3 linked regions of the Drosophila melanogaster genome follow. The protein of the gene in region 1 interacts with the protein of each later gene in a biochemical or structural test. Each region holds a gene or a part of one and is shown in the gene's direction. Other genes may lie near its edges.

Region 1 (6,706 bases):
TATTAGCAATGCCTAAGAAGTATGCGAAATAAATTTCAGTTTGGATATTACTTTTATTATGTTTCATTGTGGTTTTGACCTATTACTGATTCAACAGTAATGTGTCTTATTCAGCAAATGGGAAAGGAAACCTTCTAAAAAATGTATTCTCACCTCCTGAAAAATAACAAACACCTAGATTTCTGTCGGGAGGTTAATAATGGTTTAAATCATTTTAATAAATTAAAGGTAATTTGTTGAGGTACCCGTTTTCGATCAATTACTACATAGTTTAACTTATGTTAACCGAACTTACTCTTTAACAAAAGAGAATGCTATATTCGAGTTCCCCGACTATCAGATACTCTCGTTACTCAGCTAGTGTCAGGGTGAACGAACTAGCATCTTTCTTCTGGCATATCGATAGAAACTCCACAGTGAAAATGAATGAATGAAATGAATGAATGATATGAATGAAATGAATGAATGATATAAATGAATGAATGAAATGAATGAAATGAATGAAATGAATGAAATGAATGAAATGAATGAAATGAATGAAATGAATGAAATGAATGAAATGAATGAAATGAATGAAATGAATGAAATGAATGAAATGAATGAAATGAATGAAATGAATGAAATGAATGAAATGAATGAAATGAATGAAATGAATGAAATGAATGAAATGAATGAAATGAATGAAATGAATGAAATGAATGAAATGAATGAAATGAATGAAATGAATGAAATGAATGAAATGATATGAAATGAATGAAATGAATGAAATGAATGAAATGAATGAAATGAATGAAATGAATGAAATGAATGAAATGAATGAAATGAATGAAATGAATGAAATGAATGAAATGAATGAAATGAATGAAATGAATGAAATGAATGAAATGAATGAAATGAATGAAATGAATGAAATGAATGAAATGAATGAAATGAATGAAATGAATGAAATGAATGAAATGAATGAAATGAATGAAATGAATGAAATGAATGAAATGAATGAAATGAATGAAATGAATGAAATGAATGAAATGAATGAAATGAATGAAATGAATGAAATGAATGAAATGAATGAAATGAATGAAATGAATGAAATGAATGAATGAAATGAATGAATGAAATTAATGAATGAAATGAATGAATGAAATTAATGAATGAAATGAATGAATGAAATTAATGAATGAAATGAATGAATGAATGAATGAAAAAAAAGTTTTGATTGGTTTGTGGGCGTTAGAGTGGGCGTGGCAAAAATATTTTTGGCGAATCGATACAAATTTACAAAACAATAAAAATGTGAAAAAAATCAAAATATTTTTCAAAATTGTGGGAGGGGAAATATGGGTCTATGTCTCTAGAATCTGTATGCCTAATCTCAAGCTTCTAGCTTTTATAGTTGCTAAGAACTCGACAGACGGATGGGGCTATCGATCCTGATCAAGAATATATGTACATTATATGATTGGAAACACTAACTTGTAGCTGTTAGATACATTTAAACGAATCTATTATACACTTTTACTCTACGAGTAAAGAGTATAAAAATAAAATGGTTACGAATATATCGTTATAAAGTAAGTCTTATGTAGAATGATGCGTATCGAGCCTATAAAATTCATATTCTTCTTGATCATGATCTAGATTTCCCTATCCGCCTAACGTACAGTCTTGGAAAACTAATAGAGCTTTAAAGTTGTAGTTAAAAATGCATGTTTTATTTACGACTACATTGCGCAAGTTTGCTTCTTAATAATGCCTAGTTGTTTACAATTCCAATCACGCTAATAATCCTTAGGGCATTCTAACAGAATATGGGGATAGTTAAATCCAATCAATCAATTTCCATAGTCCTAAAAGCAGTCCCTTTACTGCTTGCACAACTCACTATATCTAATAGTCATTGCACTCGAACAGTCATTACCATCTAAAAATGTGAACCCTGTGTCCTGATTTTTAACTAAGACCATCTTTTAAAATAAACTGACGACCGTCATAAACTGTTCATATATGATTTATTTCGAAAAATAATTAGGCGTTGTTGATCACCCAGGAGCGGAGGGCAGCAACATCGGCATAGACACCGGGGTAGTTGGAGTAAGCGCATCCGTATCCCCAGGAGACAACACCGACGAGGACTCCGCCGGAGACCAGTGGGCCACCGGAGTCACCCTGGCAGGCATCCTTGCCGCTGGCAGCAGCGCAGATCATGGTGCTGCGGATCTGGCTACCGTATCCGTAGGTGGAGGAAGCACACTGGCTCTGGCTAACGATGTTCACGTTCACGTACTGCAGCTGGGAGGGGATGGAGCTGGATCCGTAGGAGAGAGTGCCCCATCCGGAGACGGAGGCCGCAGCGCCGTTGGCGGGGTTGGAGCTAGCCAGACCGATGGCCTTGATGGTGGAGCTGAAGGTCAGGGCGCCGTTGATCTTGATGATGGCAATGTCGTTGACCATGGTGTTGGCGTTGTAGCCCTCGTGGTTCTTGAAGGAGGACACAGAGAAGGTGACACCGCCGGAGCTCCAGTAGCTGGATCCAGCACGGATCTGCAGGACGGAAGCGGACACGGACTGCAGACAGTGAGCGGCGGTCACGATGACGTTGCTGGAGTAGATGGATCCACCGCAGGAGTGGCTTCCACTGCGCTGCAGGGAGATCTGCCAGGGGAAGCTGCTGATGGTGGTAGCAGAGCCGCCGACAATGCGGCCATCCAACTGAGGCAGGAGTCCCTCAGGGACGGTGCCTCCCAGGGCGCAGGCTACTGCAGACAACAAGATCACGAACTTCAGCATGGTGCGAATCCAATGAGTTGACTCTAAACTGGACACCCCTTTTATACGAGTTTCCAATCTGTTCTTGGCACTATAATCACAACTTTCAATTATTTTTATCACCTGCGTGTCAGGAAAACCCAAATAATACCGTTGAAGTGCCCAAATGATATTCCACAACTCAGAAGTCGCACGGCTCTTTATCACAAAAATAAATAAAAATGCGAGGAAAGTGTAACTACTTTTATATTACCTTTCTAAATAATTCGCTTTCTTTTTATTATATTTAATTTTTGCAAGGTATTGATGGGAACGTCTATTTTCGACTTACATATTTAAATAGGGGATTAAACTTGTACAATAACATTGTGGAATTTTTTAAAAGTGGATGCTTGTCATTCAACTTGATTTAGTTCTAATCTAATCCAATTATTATACATAATTGTGTGCATAACTATTAATATTATTGGCTTTTTAAAAGAAAATAACTGTTTAGCATTTTAATTTGTGAATTTTGTAAAACCATTAATTTTAAGAACAATTTAATCGCCTTTGCATTAATTTTAATTACATGATTATGCGTTCAATTGCATTGTTTTCTAGTAATGCTCATGATGTTTCTCATAAGTTATATAATTTCTTTTAAAAAATTATGGTGTCTGTTTATTTAAAACACAATAAATTGTTTATAGAAATATAAATTGTTTTAATTTCGTTTAAACCCCGATATCTTTATGTGACTATCTTTTTCAAGCTATTTAAATGACCAACTTATTGCAAAAAAAAATCGTTTGGCATGAATCTGGACTTTGTATACGTATATACTTCTTATTCGCGAAATCTATTTGTCGGTCACACATTTAAAAAATATTTTGGATTTCCCTGACAAGCAAGTGATAAAAATAATTGAAATTTATGATAAGAGCGCCACAAAGAGATAGGTCCCTGTATAAAAGGGGTGTCCAGTTTAGAGTCAACTCATTGGATTCGCACCATGCTGAAGTTCGTGATCTTGTTGTCTGCAGTAGCCTGCGCCCTGGGAGGCACCGTCCCTGAGGGACTCCTGCCTCAGTTGGATGGCCGCATTGTCGGCGGCTCTGCTACCACCATCAGCAGCTTCCCCTGGCAGATCTCCCTGCAGCGCAGTGGAAGCCACTCCTGCGGTGGATCCATCTACTCCAGCAACGTCATCGTGACCGCCGCTCACTGTCTGCAGTCCGTGTCCGCTTCCGTCCTGCAGATCCGTGCTGGATCCAGCTACTGGAGCTCCGGCGGTGTCACCTTCTCTGTGTCCTCCTTCAAGAACCACGAGGGCTACAACGCCAACACCATGGTCAACGACATTGCCATCATCAAGATCAACGGCGCCCTGACCTTCAGCTCCACCATCAAGGCCATCGGTCTGGCTAGCTCCAACCCCGCCAACGGCGCTGCGGCCTCCGTCTCCGGATGGGGCACTCTCTCCTACGGATCCAGCTCCATCCCCTCCCAGCTGCAGTACGTGAACGTGAACATCGTTAGCCAGAGCCAGTGTGCTTCCTCCACCTACGGATACGGTAGCCAGATCCGCAGCACCATGATCTGCGCTGCTGCCAGCGGCAAGGATGCCTGCCAGGGTGACTCCGGTGGCCCACTGGTCTCCGGCGGAGTCCTCGTCGGTGTTGTCTCCTGGGGATACGGATGCGCTTACTCCAACTACCCCGGTGTCTATGCCGATGTTGCTGCCCTCCGCTCCTGGGTTATTAGCAATGCCTAAAAAGTGTGCGAAATAAAACGTATATTCTGACTATAAACTTGGTCTTTTATTTTTATTGCGCAATTAACAAATTAATCCCGGGCCGCCGAGTTCCATAGTCGATTCTTCGTCTTAAAATTCGCCTTGTCGCCCTTGGTCACTGGACGAAGATGAGCCGCATCCACTATGTTCCTGATGGCAATTGGCTTACATGCATTTTTCAATTTGAGACATGTTTATTTGTATTGCTTACTTGAATTCTTCGTAGTTCTGAGTGCTATAAACAGCCCTAAGTTTGGCATCGTTGCGCAGTTCATAGAGTTCTCCATCACGGATGCACTGCAAGCAGCTCTCCCGCAGACGGATAAGCTCCTCCGCGGTTATCTTCCAGTTATCCATGTCGGTATTATCTCTCAAAAGTCCTTTTTTCGATATTCACAACATCTAAATAAATTTGTTTGGCAATAGTTGCCTGGGCAACGTGTTTTCATATCGAACTAGAGAACCGGGTAAGGAGCAGTGCTGACCAAGACCAATCAAGGGTATCAGTAATATATACTAACGATAAGCCATCAATTAGCCGAAGATTAACTTTTACAGCCCTAGTAAAAAGCACGCCATGAAGGGGTTTCGTGGACAAATACGAGCAGTTTGCACTTGGCTTTCGGAATGGCTGTTTACGGAATAGTGGCTACGGTGCTGGTCCTTTTGCTGCTCGGCGATGCGTCAGATGTCGAGGCCACTGGACGAATTATTGGCGGAAGCGATCAGCTGATTCGTAACGCCCCCTGGCAGGTGTCTATTCAGATCAGTGCGCGCCACGAGTGCGGCGGAGTCATCTATAGCAAGGAGATCATCATCACAGCCGGACACTGTCTACATGAGAGATCCGTGACGCTGATGAAGGTGCGTGTGGGTGCACAGAATCACAACTACGGCGGCACATTGGTTCCTGTGGCGGCGTACAAAGTCCACGAGCAGTTTGATTCCCGCTTCCTGCACTACGACATTGCCGTGCTTCGTCTGTCCACACCACTGACCTTTGGCCTCTCAACGAGAGCCATCAATTTAGCCAGTACGAGTCCATCGGGTGGAACAACAGTCACTGTCACGGGTTGGGGCCACACTGATAATGGAGCCCTCTCCGATAGCTTGCAGAAGGCCCAGTTGCAGATCATCGATCGCGGAGAGTGTGCCTCGCAAAAGTTTGGCTACGGTGCGGATTTTGTGGGCGAGGAAACAATTTGCGCTGCCAGCACTGATGCAGATGCCTGTACGGGAGACTCTGGAGGTCCTTTGGTGGCCAGTAGCCAGCTGGTGGGCATTGTATCCTGGGGTTACCGGTGTGCGGACGACAACTACCCCGGTGTCTATGCCGATGTGGCGATTCTGCGACCTTGGATAGTCAAGGCGGCCAATGCCATATGAACAGATTTTGGAAAATAAAGACCATGCTTAAAAAAGTTTAAGAATGCAACTCCATTAATATTCGCCCCCCAGGTGGAATCGAACCACTTCGACGCAAATCGACTACGGATTTGAAGTCCGCACCCCGGACCACCGAAGTTCAGTGGGGCATTTAGTGTGCTAGAGTTTCCCTAATTATATACACGTTGTGCTGAATAAGCACTTGGGAATTTTAAGAGTACGTGTAGAGCAAATTCCAGTAGATCTGAGGGCAATATAGATAACATCGGAAATCACGAATTTCATGTATAGTGTTATATGTCTTCTTTGGTCAATGTTTTATCGCATCCAAGCTCACCAGGAACACCACGAGTTGGTTTAGGTAAAAATTTAAGATATACGCATTCGAAACGAATGTCTTGAAATCTATAAAAGGGATAAAGTTTATTACAAAATATTAACTCAGAAAATCAGCATTTTTAATTTATGGAATGCAGTGGCAAATGCATATATAAAATTAAAGAGTAAATATCGCATTCAAAGGCGATTTCAATACCATTGAGAGGACTCATAGAATTTCAACAAAAGATCAAAGAGATTAGATAATGATAATAGTTATTCCGCCCGAGTACGCATCACTTCCGTGGCTGCTGGATGTGGATCTGGGGCTTCTGCTGCACTGCAGCCGGTGGCTTGGGCGAGTGGGCCACCTGGGCGGAGGCGGGCGTAAAGTCCGTGTTGCCCTTGACGGGGGCACCGCTCACAGAGCCGGAGTTCACGGCAATGGGTTGCTTTAAA
Region 2 (7,722 bases), on another chromosome or scaffold:
GTCCGTCCATCTGCTCGCTCGTCCGTATGTACACTACTTTCAAGCTAACTGCATACAACTCTCGCAAAGTCTTATTTCAACATCTTCTCGACATTCTTTTTGGCGTACCGATAAAAACTGGAATGAAAAGAAAAAATAAAATAACACCCACCACCTTAGAAACTAAAAAAGATAGACAGTTGAGACTAAGCATGTAAATTCCAGAGACATAGGCACAGCTCAATATTGTTTCCTGATGTCGCCACGCCACAAAATTAAAACATTTTTCAAAATGTGAATAAAAATTTACGAGACTAGCAAAAATATGAAAATTCATTAATACATTTTTTAAAAGTGTCGGCGTGGCAGTTTTGGGATGGTTGTGGGCTTTAGAGTGGGCGTAGCATGAAGTTGGCAATTTAATAGAAATTTACAAAACTAATAAACGTATGAAAATACGACGGGCGGTAGTGTGGGCTTGGCAACATTTGTCTCTGGAAACTGCATGCATAATCTCAACATTCCAGCTTTTATAGTTCCTGGGATCGAGATCGGACAGACGGAATATATATACTTTATATGGTCGGAAACGCTTCCTTCTACCTGTTACTTACTTTTCATCGAATCTACTATACCCTTTTAATCTACAAGTAACGGGCATAATTAGCAATTTATATCGATTGGTTCCCGTTACAGAAGAATAAAATATTTTAACGTTAAAATTTTGTATTTGCCAATCAATCATCCGATAATAAGCTATAAATTATGATGTTTCATTAAACTGCATACAACTCAAAAATGTTGGTTTTTTGTAGCTAAATTATAATTATATATTATTATATATTGCAGAGCATGATATATAAATATTCTAAATATTCCGAGGGTACTCAACTAACGTATTTATAAAAAAGTCAAATGAATAGGACAATTTAGAAATACTGCATACTCAAAATCGTTGATAATATACAGTCATAGACATAAATAGATCCTCTATCGCTTGTTAAGAGTCGAATGTCTGTCCCCATGAAATATATAAAGTCATATACTAAACAGGAAATGCAAATACTTACCGAAGACTATAACTACTAGATTCCTCATCTTCATTTGGTTCAATAAACTGTAACTGTGATCTTTTATGCCTCCACCACAAGTATCCTCCAGCCAGAAAAAGAGCGATTGTAATAATTAATCCCAATATAGCCAAGCAAGCTATAAGTACTATGCTTGCCATGTCTGTAATAGTGAGAAGTATGTGTAATTTTTTTACGACAATTCGAATCTTAATTCAAGTAAATAACAAAGAAATCGATTATGTAAGATATAATATCTTCGGGCATACATATTTATTTCATGCAGATAAGAACGTAACTTTCTGTAACTAAGGTGTATAATAATATATAATAACAACACCCAACTTATTTTTATTTGTTTATTTTTTATACCACAGTACCACCACAGTATAAACTATGTCGCACTTTAAGATGTAGAGCATATAATATTGTTATTTAATGGCTTTCTTTTTAAAGGAGTACACATTGTTTTATGTTTGACTTATGTAAATCTCATAAAACTTGGTCCAAAACATTATTATTTGTTTAGTTCGCTGTCATAAAGGTTGCAGGTGCCGGAGATCCCAATTAAGAAATAAGCAAACCAAACTAATCCAACATTCAGTATAATTGTTACAGTACTCTATGTTTTTACACTGTCTTATTAGATTGCGTGTTGTTATTACAAATTTGAGTCTTTCCTTTGAATTTAAATAACGGCAAAAACTGTATTTTACTTTAAAACTACTTTATTCCTAAAACAATATGTCGTTTAAGTTAATATCGAGCTACTTATGCCAATGAAAACACGTCGAATACATTTTTTTATAAGAGCTCGTTTGCATGAAAAGCTCGACTCTGTGCGCATGTCATTGAAAATACTAGTATATGTATGCATATACATAGGTACGAGTTATAATACGGAGTACTTTGAAACATTTACCAAAATATAATTGTGGCTGAGTGCAGCCAATTTTGTTGTGCTACTCATTAGGAATTCCCAAAATCGGAACTTAGGGGGATAATAACTGACAAGAGTTCTGAATACAGCCATCCTTATTCTACCTTGACAAGTGCATCGAATTGTTTACTTCCTCTAGATCCTGTCATCAAATAGTTTTCTTGGCAGATCCCGATATGTCACGGTTAAAAAGAAAGCTAGGAGAGAGTGCACGAAGAAATGAAAATCTGATGCTAACACAAGAAATGAAATTAATTCACATGAATACACTTATTTATTATTATTAATTGATAAGTGGAAAAACAATGCATTCGTGTATTTTTTGTATTATTCTTTGCAAATGTCTAATGCACAAGATTATTATTACAATTAAAAATCTTCAACAGCAAATTTTTATTTTTTGTTTTTATGGTATATACAATTATTTAGAATTAACACATTTGTCATTTTTGAAATTGTATCTTTTAAAATTCTCGATATTTACTACATTTAAACACCCCACTGATGATACAGCAATAGTTATCTTAATTTCGAAATTTTCGTTAATCTTATATGAACTCAAATCATATATGTTCACAAGACAGAAGATAAGCATTGATGTATATCTTTTGAAAGGAATACGGTATTACCAAAGACACTAGAATAACAAGATGCGTAACGGCCATACATTGGTTTGCCCAAAGACCCTAGAATAACAAGATGCGTAACGCCATACGATTTTTTGGCACACGATTTTTTGGCCGTGGCTCTAGAGGTGGCTCCAGGCTCTCTCGAATTTTTGTTTGAGAGCGAGAGAGCGAAGAGCGCTACAGCGAACAGCTCTTTTCAACGCACAAAGTGGTAGGAGACATCTGTATGTGTGCACACGTATGCTCATGCATTGTAAATTTGACAAAATATGCCCTTCACCTCAGAAGTTTTTAGACTTTAAATCTATATTATTTTTGATCAATTGGCACCATGCGAAAAATTCTTGTTTTGCATTGCCTTAACGTTATTATTATTTGAAAATATATCAGAAATAGCCAAATCTATGTACATATTATCACAAAAATAAATTTCAAAAATGACTTTATATAAGAATATTTGTCATTAGAGTATTCATCTTGCGGCGTGTGAAAAATTAATAAGGCAATGATTGTTGAGTGCTTGTGTCCGCACTTCGTGCCTCAAGATATGAACAAAGCATTAGAATTATTCTAGTATATTACTTTGATATTACTTTTGCAATAAACAGTTATCATATTTAATTATTTAGTATATTTATTAAATCATTTGACTTAATATGATGTAACATTAACATTAAAAGTGTTTTAAAAAAATAATTTCTCTTTTAAAAAATTGTCAGATGAGAGACAAATTAGAATTAAACATAAATATAAATGTGTAAACGGTAGCTAATTCGAGCGGCGATTTTAACAAACAAATTTAAAAAGCTTTAAAATTATAATAGTCAGGGCGCGAATTTTTAAAAATTTTTTTATTTTATCATATTGCTAGGAAATTGGCAAAAACTACCCTAATATGTACCATGTAAATTCGTTTCTTCGATCAGAATTGATTTCGGCCCGAAAATCGTCTTCTAGCACAACACGCACACTTATACGCGTTCTCGTCTCTTGTTTTTACTCACACAAGCAATCAAATTATATTTTTAGATTTCTTACGCTCTCAGCGGGAGTGAGCGGAAAGAGAGTAATTTTGGCAGTCACCAAAGAAGTGGCTGCATAGTGCCAAACCAATGTATGGCCGTTACGCATCTTGTTATTCTAGTGTCTTTGGTTAAACTAAAGTATTTTTAAAGAAATACCGAACTACTTAAACGGAATTAAAAATTAAATTTCTTTGAAATTTATTGATCATCAACCGATGGTATATTATAAATAGACTTATATACTACAGGTATAACCTGTATATAGTATGATCTAAATCGTTGATATAATGAAATACTAACTACAGTCAAACCACGGACAATTGTTTATTTGTTACGTTCATTATGACTTCAATATTTCATATTTCATTATAAATTTCATTACAAATCTTTACATCTTTCTTGATGTGTGAAAATGTTATAAGGACTATTGAACTCTTTGGTTTGTGCTGCGATTTTGTGTCTTTTAAGCGAGAAGGTATAATTTGCCAGTCCATGTGCGGTCACACTGATGACAAATCGTTTTTATCAAGCGATATTGGGAACTAACTTTCGAGTTTGCATATGTGTATGCATATGTATATTTAATTAAGTTTTGGTTTTGTCTGATACACAAGATGATTATTACAATTAAAAATCTTCAACAGCAAACTTTTACTATTGAGTTTGCCCCGGAAAAAACGGTATGTGTACAAATAGTCAAATACTAGTATATTCACATGTATGGTATATACAATTATTGCAAATGCATATGTGTGCTTATACAGGTATTTCTTACAATTAATTTGTTGTACCATAATAAGCAGGGATTCTGATTACAAAAGGTTTTGGAACTGAAGAAGAAAATATTCGAGGAGCGCGGTCCAGAGTACGTCGCCGAAAAACAAAAACTGATCTACGCTGGCGTCATATTGACGGATGACCGCACCGTTGGTTCATACAACGTTGATGAAAAAAAGTTCATTGTGGTAATGTTGACACGCGATTCGTCTAGTTCAAATCGTAATCAACTTAGTGTAAAAGAAAGTAATAAATTGACTAGCACCGACGATTCAAAGCAATCTATGCCTTGCGAAGAAGCCAACCATACCAATTCGCCTAGTTCCACAAATACAGAAGATTCAGTTTTATCACGTGAAACCAGACCTTTATCTAGTGACGAATTGATTGGCGAGTTGGCCCAGGCTTCCTTACAATCGCGCGCTGAATCTAATTTGCTTATGGGTGACGAATACAACCAAACAGTCCTATCAATGGTGGAAATGGGTTACCCAAGAGAGCAGGTTGAACGTGCGATGGCTGCTAGTTATAACAACCCGGAAAGAGCCGTTGAATATCTCATTAATGGCATACCTGCAGAGGAAGGTACTTTTTACAATAGGCTGAATGAATCAACGAATCCTAGTCTAATCCCCTCCGGACCGCAACCTGCGTCGGCAACCTCTGCCGAGCGTTCAACAGAATCAAATTCAGGTAACTTGATGGGATTTCAATCAGCAGTCAATTTATGTATTCTTGTATGAAACGAAAATATATAATTTCTACCCAGAAGTACTAAATTTGCACACTTCAAAACATAGTGAAATTAATAAACCCGATTTGGCTCTCGCTCTTTAATGAAATTATACGGCCTTAACATAATTGCGTTAGTTTTCCTGGTCAAGAAATATTGTTGATCAAAACTTATGTTGCACATTCGTTAATAAATAATAAAAGAGTTCTCTTAGTACTGGAAATATATGCAGCTGTTAAAGATTCACTAAAATGTTTGTGAGCTCGTTGTCCCGCAGTATCATTTACATATATATGTCAACAGACACTAAAGGAGCGATAATTCACGAATTTTTGTCACTATTCTCTTCAAGGACAGGGCATCACTATATGTTTTTAGTTAATTTAATTATTATTTAATTATTTATATTTACGTTTCAGACCCCTTTGAATTTTTACGTAGCCAGCCACAGTTTCTTCAAATGCGATCTTTAATTTATCAAAACCCTCATCTTTTGCATGCAGTATTGCAGCAGGTAAGTACACTTATAATAATAATTACATGACACGTAAATGATAATTTTTTTTACGTATAGATTGGTCAGACAAACCCAGCCCTTTTACAACTTATTTCGGAGAACCAAGATGCGTTTCTCAATATGCTTAATCAACCGATTGACCGCGAATCGGAGTCAGGCGCCACCGTTCCTCCCGTTTCGAATGCGCGGATTCCTTCAACTTTGGACAATGTTGACCTCTTTTCTCCAGATTTAGAAGTAGCTACTTCAGCACAAAGATCAGCCGCGGGTACAAGTGCAGCACATCAAAGCGGTAGCGCAGCGGATAACGAAGACTTGGAACAACCTTTAGGAGTATCAACCATTCGTTTAAATCGCCAAGATAAGGACGCAATAGAACGGGTATATAGGAGTGAATAATTATATATGGACTGTCGAGTTACTTAATATATTCTTCTTCTAGCTAAAAGCTCTTGGATTCCCAGAGGCCCTTGTACTGCAAGCGTACTTCGCTTGTGAAAAGAACGAGGAACAAGCAGCTAATTTTTTGCTATCGTCTAGCTTCGATGATTAGGATGACAAAATGTAAGAAGTTATGCAAATAACACCGGAAGCGTTACATTTAAAGTTAGATGTTCTTAAATTAAATGTAAAATGTCGATCATAAAAATTCTTTTATATTCTTTTAATACCGTCGGCGTATTGTACTTGTTATTTGTTAAAAATTGCAGCCATGGGTAAAATAGAGTTACGATGTCATTTTTACTAAATATTTCACCACGACATTGTCTTCAGCATAAGACTGCAAATGTCTACAAATTTATCTGTGCCAATCCATGGTAGGGAGGCCTTGGATTAGGCCTTCACCTAATGGATGGCAAAGTATATTTCTAGTGTGTGTATTTCTAGTGTATATGCAATACACACATTAATTATTTTAAGGTCGTATTAAGCTAAAGAAGTCTTATGATTTATTCTTTCCTTATCTTGGTTGATTTATAAAATATTTTTTTGACTAGTGGGAGTCCACAATTAAGTCACTTAACACATAAAGTACTTTTTGTCGTCCTGGATGTTGGACATATGACTAAAATATATTAATCATTGTATTACATAAATTTCGTGTTTTTTTATTGTAAATAATGTCCGCAATTATGCCCTAATAAGCTGTGGCGTCTCTTTGGTGATTCCTTTCAGGATGAGTCGGAGAAATAAAACAATTTCATTAATTGCATGACATTCATAACAATTCTATAGTCGAGTGCCTCGACTATCAGATACCCTTTACTCACGAAAAAACTAATTAAAATTTTTATAAATATTTTTTATTGCTTATTTTTACAGGAATAAATGTTCTCCAGTTTTACAGTACTTAGATTATCATTAATTTACAAATATACAAAACTGTAGAACATTTGGACTTATGATACTTTTCTGCTTGCCAATTAATACGACAAATATAAAACTCGAACATTGTAATATGCATTATTAATGCAAAGAATTCTACACTTTAATATTAATAAATCTCTAATAGTTTCATGTATGGCTATGGTCCCCTCTATAATGTTGCTACAATTATAAATCTTTCCTGACTCAATGTAGATTCAAAGACACAAGAATTATTGGTAGATTTGGTAGAACGCAGGTAAGTGGAAAGAGAAGCACTCGTTAATACTTCTTTCCTTGACACGTTCCAGAACTTTAGACTGGGTCGAATTAACTTTATAAACATGGGCATACCCACCGGACCACAAATAACGTTATTCTAGTGTCTTTGGTTTGACTGTGTTAATGACAAATCTTTAAGCTCAAAATTGTAGTATAGAAACTCTTTGGTGACCATTGACACGAATAGGACTGCCGACCACAGTGACATACATATAAAGTGAAAACATACACATTTATGTGGAAATGGTCTGGCAACGACGAAAGACAAGCTTCACAGCTTATCTAACGACAAATCAAAAAGTTAGAACGATAGAGTGGTGTTTACACACAAACTACCGGATTGATGTACACTTTCTCATATCGATATGACGCAACCTAGTGATTTTGGAAGTATTAGTAAGATGC
Region 3 (6,524 bases), on another chromosome or scaffold:
TGCTTGTACTAGGCTTCGGCAGCACGTCGGTGGCCACCTGCTCCTCGCACTCGGGACGACCGCGGCTCAGGTCGTGGGAGAAGCGGCAAAGTTCCCCAAAGCGGCAGATGCCGCGCACGTAGTAGCGGCAGATGGTCTGGCTCCGGCCAAGAGCCATGCCGCTGATGGCTGTATCGCTGCTGGTGACGGCACTCATTTCGCTACGATGATCGCAAAAGGGTTTTCGGGTTTTCAAATCACTGACAAGTCTGGACCTGATGACCTGAAAGCAAAGGCGAGGGGTTAGCGATTGACGCTAGGCAAAATGGGTAAATTCAGGAAAATGTGACCTCCAGTCTCAAGCGTTCTTACCCCCAAACGAACATACCTACAGACACAGCCACTGCGTACATACGCAGATTCGGCAAACAGAGCCCGTGTACCCTTAAACCACAGTTGTTCGGGAGTTTCCGCAATCCTTAGCAGGAAAGCACACGAAATGCACTCGTGACACCTTTTGCATTTCAAATATCCCCTTAGCATCAGTGAAATATGCAATGTAAGTATGTATGCAAGTGCGAGGATTCCTGTACGCATATGAACGTTGCGATCCCGCACTTCAAAATAACCCTTGCATCGCACGCGATGAATGTTTTACATTACCTGCTTGCTTTCAGGGAGTGCGACTTCTTGAAATCGAAGCTGGTTTAATGTCCACAGCACTCACAGTTTCTTACTTTGTCGTTTTATGCACCTTGGATCACATTCACAATTTTTTTCCGCAGTGTGACCAAAGCCATTGAAGACTAAAATCACACGCACAACAAACCGTTTACTGTTTGAATGTTCGAACGCTTTTTAAATTTTACTAGGAATTCTGGGAAAGGAACAAAAGAATGAAAACGACAACAGAAGAGAACGTTTTATTCGACTATCAGATACCCGAGAAATTTTTTAATTTTTTTGGCATATCAATAGACAGAATATCAAACTGGACAGAAAGGCGTAACGGTTTTGGGCCGTTAGAATTGGCGTAGCAATAATCTTCATCTTAATCCTTCTACATACATAACGAATCTACTAAGCCTTCTTATTTACGAGTAACGGGCATAATGATGTAAGATAATATTTAATAATAAGATTTACAGTGTTACTCCCCCATTCTATCAAAGCTTAGAAAGCAGTTTACTAATCAAAAGGATTTATTTCCACCCGGCTATTTATTTAATTAGTGTTAAAGGGTATACCATTTGTATGTATATTGTATAAATAATTGCTCCTAATAATGACGCGGCAATGACAGGAGCGCAGCGTAACTTCACTCGAAAAAATTTATAAATGATACGTGGTCAAATTCTGTTAGTGAACAGATGGAGAGGATTTAACGGAGGATATAACGTAGTTGTAACGTTCTAAAGCTTTAATATCTATATTTATTTATCTGACATTATCTCAATGTAATAATTCCGCTTGTGTGAATATAAAATTTATCTGACTATCAAATGTACCTGAACATATTTGCTGTGTAGCAGTAACGCTCTAATTGACTTTGAAACTAAATAAGATACCATTTCTAACGTAAATTAAGGCTATTACAGGCAATCTGAAGTAATTAGAAGTTATTCGGGCCAACTCAGGTGAACAGTATTCATAAAATTCTTCTAAAAACCAGACCATGCGCTTGATAAAGAAATTCCATGGAAAAATTCGAAGCGTTAGCCGAAAAAGGGGAAAAAGTTTCCTAAGAAATACGTCAATGGAAATGCTTAAGTACGTTATTAGTGATAATAATTATTCTTGGTGGATAAAGCTTTACTTCGCCATCATATTCGCCTTGGTTCTTTTTGTGGCCGTGAACTTGGCGGTTGGAATTTACAATAAGTGGGACAGCACACCAGTTATTATTGGAAGTATATAAATCATAACATATATTACTTTTAGGGATATGAATACATTTTAATCTTACTTTAAAGTTAGCTCTAAGATGACTCCCATTGATCAAATTCCGTTTCCAACCATAACGGTTTGCAATATGAACCAGGCTAAAAAGTCGAAAGTAGAGCATTTAATGCCGTAAGTATCATTCAAGTCCCATGGAAACCCAATTATATAATAAACTCTATTAGGGGCTCCATAAGATACGCCATGCTTCAAAAGACCTGCTATAAGGAGTCAAATTTCTCGCAATACATGGATACTCAGCACAGAAATGAAACATTCTCAAATTTCATATTGGATGTTTCCGAGAAGTGTGCAGATCTGATAGTATCCTGCATATTTCATCAACAAAGGATACCCTGCACTGACATCTTTAGAGAAACTTTCGTGGATGAAGGATTGTGCTGCATATTTAATGTCTTGCATCCGTATTATCTTTATAAGTTCAAGTAGGGTTCAACGAAGGTCAAAAGAACGAATAACTTACTTACTCATTTAAAGATCGCCCTACATTCGGGACTTCACTTCGTCCGACAGGTTTGCAGATATCGCCGTGGACTGGGATCCAATATCTGGCTACCCACAGAGACTACCCTCAAGTTACTATCCGCGTCCGGGAGTTGGAGTTGGTACCTCGATGGGTCTGCAAATCGTTCTCAACGGTCACGTGGACGACTATTTCTGCTCCTCCACAAACGGACAGGGCTTTAAGGTAAGTTGTGTTGTACGCTTTTTGCCCAGCTAGCTTATACCTTTCAGATACCTTTCAGATACTCCTGTATAATCCGATAGACCAGCCGCGCATGAAGGAGTCAGGATTACCTGTGATGATTGGGCACCAGACGAGTTTTCGCATCATAGCTAGAAACGTTGAGGCTACACCCTCTATAAGGAATATTCACAGGACGAAACGCCAGTGTATTTTTAGTGACGAACAGGAATTACTCTTCTATCGCTACTATACGCGCCGAAACTGCGAGGCCGAGTGCGACTCCATGTTTTTCCTGAGACTTTGCAGTTGTATTCCCTACTACCTACCACTAATTTATCCCAACGCCTCAGTGTGCGATGTGTTCCACTTTGAATGTCTGAATCGGGCAGAGTCCCAGATCTTCGACCTACAGAGCTCTCAGTGCAAGGAGTTTTGCCTGACCAGCTGCCACGACCTAATTTTCTTTCCCGATGCATTTTCCACTCCATTCAGCCAAAAGGACGTCAAGGCACAGACCAACTACTTGACGAATTTCTCAAGTGAATACATGCGCAAAAACTTGGCGGTAGTAAACTTTTTTCACACCGACAACTATTTCAGGAGCAGTGTAAGGACTTCGTATACCGGACCCACTGAATATATGGGTATGCTATTTATTAAATTTTTTAGATCTTAAATACTTTCTACGTTATTGTTATATCGTTACTAGAACAGTAATTGCAATTCCGATAATATTCCGAGTCTATCAGGGATGCCCGTCCGTCTGATAGTATAAACGTCCATGTTTTTTTTTTTTTAACTCGAGGGGGTATTTTAAGTCGATTAATAAAAACAGTCCATGTAGTGACGATGTTCACCCGGAGTGTAATGCACAATAAGAGAGTGTGTAATGCACAATCTGCTTAAAAAATCCAAATATTACCGTTTATCAGAAGGTATTTTTATGCTCAAAGTTGCATACTTAGGAGTTAATTTATTTGATACAAATCAAATATTACTATTTGTCGTTACATAACGTATGTAACTCGTCACCTCGTAAGGAAATATTTTTGCTTGATTTTGCCTAGTACCATACAAAAGAGCTTCAGGCTTATCCAAAATTGATAAAAACAAATTATACAACTTTTATATAGAGATGGTTTTAGAATTCAAGGCAGTTGACTAAAGCGTTGTATCTTCCTTGTATCTTTTCCAGCGTCAACTGGTGGAATCATGAGCCTAATGATTGGTTTCAGTGTAATATTCCTTGCGGAGATAATATACATCATTTTGTTTGTTTCAACATTGTTGCTTATATTAATATTCTGAATTAGTAAATAAAATAAACAACTTTAAATGTGTTACATAATCTAAATTACTTTTCCACAGGACTAACATTAAATAATGGACTGGTGTAGAAAAATGTAAAAGAATGTACATATGTAAATATAATCAAACAAAAATATCGCACAACGGTCATACAAATCCGATATTTTAATGCCGATAGTTCAGGCAGCACAGCACCTGGCAACCCTGGGGAATTACAGTTCAGTGGCAAAGTGACAAGCAAAAATACGAAAATGGTTCTGGAGAGTACTATGATATGGTAAATTATTGTTTTTTGAGCAATACGAAGAGCTTCCGCTAGTTTTCCCGTACTGCTTGCAACGGCACACAGTCTGGCACTCATATTTTGCTCTTTTCCAGCTTTGATAACAGCGACTTCCAGCGCAACGGAGACTACTTTCCAACTCGTCTCATCGTCCAGAGAGATGGCATCAATCTGGTCTGCCTGACCAAGCTGCGTTCCAATCCCGAGAACAATGTGGGCCTGATGACTCTGTCCAAGTGAGTGTGGAGCGTTTGTGCCCATGCCACATATTCATTATGTCTTTGTTTATACCTCAGCACCGTTGAAGTGCTGGCCACTCTTACTAGCGATGCAGGACGGATTTTCTCAAAGATGCATCTGGTTCAGCCGAAGGGCGAGATAAACCTCCTGACCGGAATCCGAATTGCCCATCTGGTGCTGAAGCATCGCCAAGGCAAGAACCACAAAATGCGCATCGTGGTCTTTGTGGGCTCCCCCATCAATCACGAGGAGGGCGATCTAGTGAAGCAGGCCAAGCGCCTCAAGAAGGAGAAGGTCAACGTAGACATAGTTAGCTTCGGTGATCATGGCAACAACAACGAGATTCTCACAGCATTCATCAACGCGCTTAATGGCAAGGACGGCACCGGCTCCCATTTGGTCAGCGTGCCTCGGGGATCAGTTTTGTCGGATGCCCTGCTGTCGTCACCCATCATTCAGGGCGAGGACGGCATGGGCGGAGCTGGCCTGGGCGGCAACGTCTTCGAATTCGGTGTAGATCCCAACGAGGACCCCGAACTGGCTCTCGCCTTGCGTGTGTCTATGGAGGAGCAACGGCAGCGCCAGGAGAGCGAGCAACGTCGCGCCAATCCCGATGGGGCTCCACCGACTGGCGGAGATGCTGGTGGCGGAGGCGGCGTTTCGGGATCTGGACCTGGAAACGAAGAAAGTGCCGGAGCAGAGAACGAAGCCAACACCGAGGAGGCCATGCTGCAGCGTGCCCTGGCCCTGTCCACCGAAACACCCGAGGACAACTTGCCGGACTTTGCTAACATGACTGAGGAGGAACAGATTGCCTTCGCTATGCAGATGTCCATGCAGGACGCTCCCGACGACTCTGTTACCCAGCAAGCAAAGCGCCCAAAGACGGACGAGGCAAACGCTCCCATGGACGTGGACGAGGATTACTCGGAGGTGATCGGAGACCCGGCCTTCTTGCAGAGCGTGCTGGAGAATCTGCCTGGTGTTGATCCCCAGTCGGAGGCGGTGCGCGATGCTGTCGGTTCACTCAACAAGGACAAGGACAAAAAGAGCGACGGCAAGGACTCGCAAAAAAAATAAACCGCATCTATGATTATATCTAATAAGCTCGTTTAAAGCATTTGTATGCCCATTAAAATCATTTGTAGCCGTCTTTCAAATTATGCTTCAAGTGAAAATATATAAACAAATACACACGATCTGCTGCTGACTTAATTGACTGCGAGGGTCTTTTCATTCACTGCATGTCTAGTAAAAATAATTTTCTAGTCCTGATAGTGGCCGGTCGACTCGGGTAAGCATGTTTATTAGGGAAGCATATGCATAATGCTTCTTCTATCTGTCACTCACGACTCTAGTTAAAGTAAATAAATTGGATTCTGTACTTAAAGTAAATGAACTTGAGCTCATTGGCCAGTTTTTGAAGTTAAACACGGAAGAATTTAAAACATCAAGGATTCCGCCCGCCTCTTTTAGAGTCCACTTTACACCTGGCATACTGCGTTTTATACAATGTCAGTACCATATATCAGACACACGTTTATTTACAGCTGGACCATAGATAAATAATAAAATCAGTTTGTGGCTCAATGCACTATAGTTTATTTCCCCGTAACAGGGGCACTATTGATATATTGATGCTCTCTACTTTACAAGCGTATTAACTATGTGTGGTCTCGTATGCAGATTACTTGTCGCCCTTGTAGTCCCGGATGTGGTAGAGCACCCAGGCGGGAATGAACAAGGATGCAGCGCACATGCCGCCGCCGAGGATCACCTTCTCCTGTAATGCAAAAAGTGAAGGATCAGTTTTTCGCTTTGGGAATCACATCCTGGTTATGCAACAAGCTCAAACTTACGGCGGTGGAGATGCGCTGGGTCGGAGGTCCAGAGACGACCGACTGGCAACGGCTCTGCATGGCGCTACGCATAGCGGGGACCAGGAGGCGGGCAGCGCTGTTTTGGAACATTTTCACAAACTTTTTCGCAAAATACGCTGGCGTAAAATCAATGCTGTAAGGTTAGAATGCTTCTTCTTAACGATTTGTCATTCGCCTTTCTTTA

Evidence for each region. Proteins that work in one complex are often made in the same cells at the same time.
Region 2: of the proteins of deltaTry (region 1) and Rad23, one has a biochemical effect on the other in vitro, tested with the Drosophila melanogaster proteins (one study listed by BioGRID).
Region 3: of the proteins of deltaTry (region 1) and Rpn10, one has a biochemical effect on the other in vitro, tested with the Drosophila melanogaster proteins (one study listed by BioGRID).

Annotation. Positions count from the first base shown.
Region 1 is NT_033778.4:11,351,573-11,358,278, forward strand, and holds deltaTry (deltaTrypsin), read left to right. Parts: upstream 1-3,746; 5' UTR 3,747-3,760; coding exon 3,761-4,522; 3' UTR 4,523-4,556; downstream 4,557-6,706. Other genes in the region: CG30031 (uncharacterized protein), read left to right, coding at 1-16; CG30025 (uncharacterized protein), read right to left, coding at 2,026-2,787; CG13202 (uncharacterized protein), read right to left, coding at 4,594-4,693, 4,755-4,900; iotaTry (iotaTrypsin), read left to right, coding at 5,171-5,929; CG12384 (uncharacterized protein), read right to left, coding at 6,544-6,699.
Region 2 is NC_004353.4:303,967-311,688, forward strand, and holds Rad23 (Rad23), read left to right. Parts: upstream 1-4,126; 5' UTR 4,127-4,257; coding exon 4,258-4,323; intron 4,324-4,446; exon of another isoform or gene 4,447-4,464; coding exon 4,465-5,113; intron 5,114-5,572; coding exon 5,573-5,667; intron 5,668-5,727; coding exon 5,728-6,051; intron 6,052-6,112; coding exon 6,113-6,223; 3' UTR 6,224-6,856; downstream 6,857-7,722. Other genes in the region: Syt7 (synaptotagmin 7), read right to left, coding at 1,050-1,210.
Region 3 is NT_037436.4:21,532,925-21,539,448, forward strand, and holds Rpn10 (regulatory particle non-ATPase 10), read left to right. Parts: upstream 1-4,075; 5' UTR 4,076-4,188; coding exon 4,189-4,214; intron 4,215-4,315; coding exon 4,316-4,456; intron 4,457-4,516; coding exon 4,517-5,540; 3' UTR 5,541-5,658; downstream 5,659-6,524. Other genes in the region: Mkrn1 (makorin 1), read right to left, coding at 1-196; ppk5 (pickpocket 5), read left to right, coding at 1,736-1,889, 1,953-2,052, 2,106-2,366, 2,419-2,629, 2,688-3,273, 3,825-3,937; COX8 (cytochrome c oxidase subunit 8), read right to left, coding at 6,148-6,243, 6,320-6,430. UniProt on the Drosophila melanogaster protein: Binds and presumably selects ubiquitin-conjugates for destruction.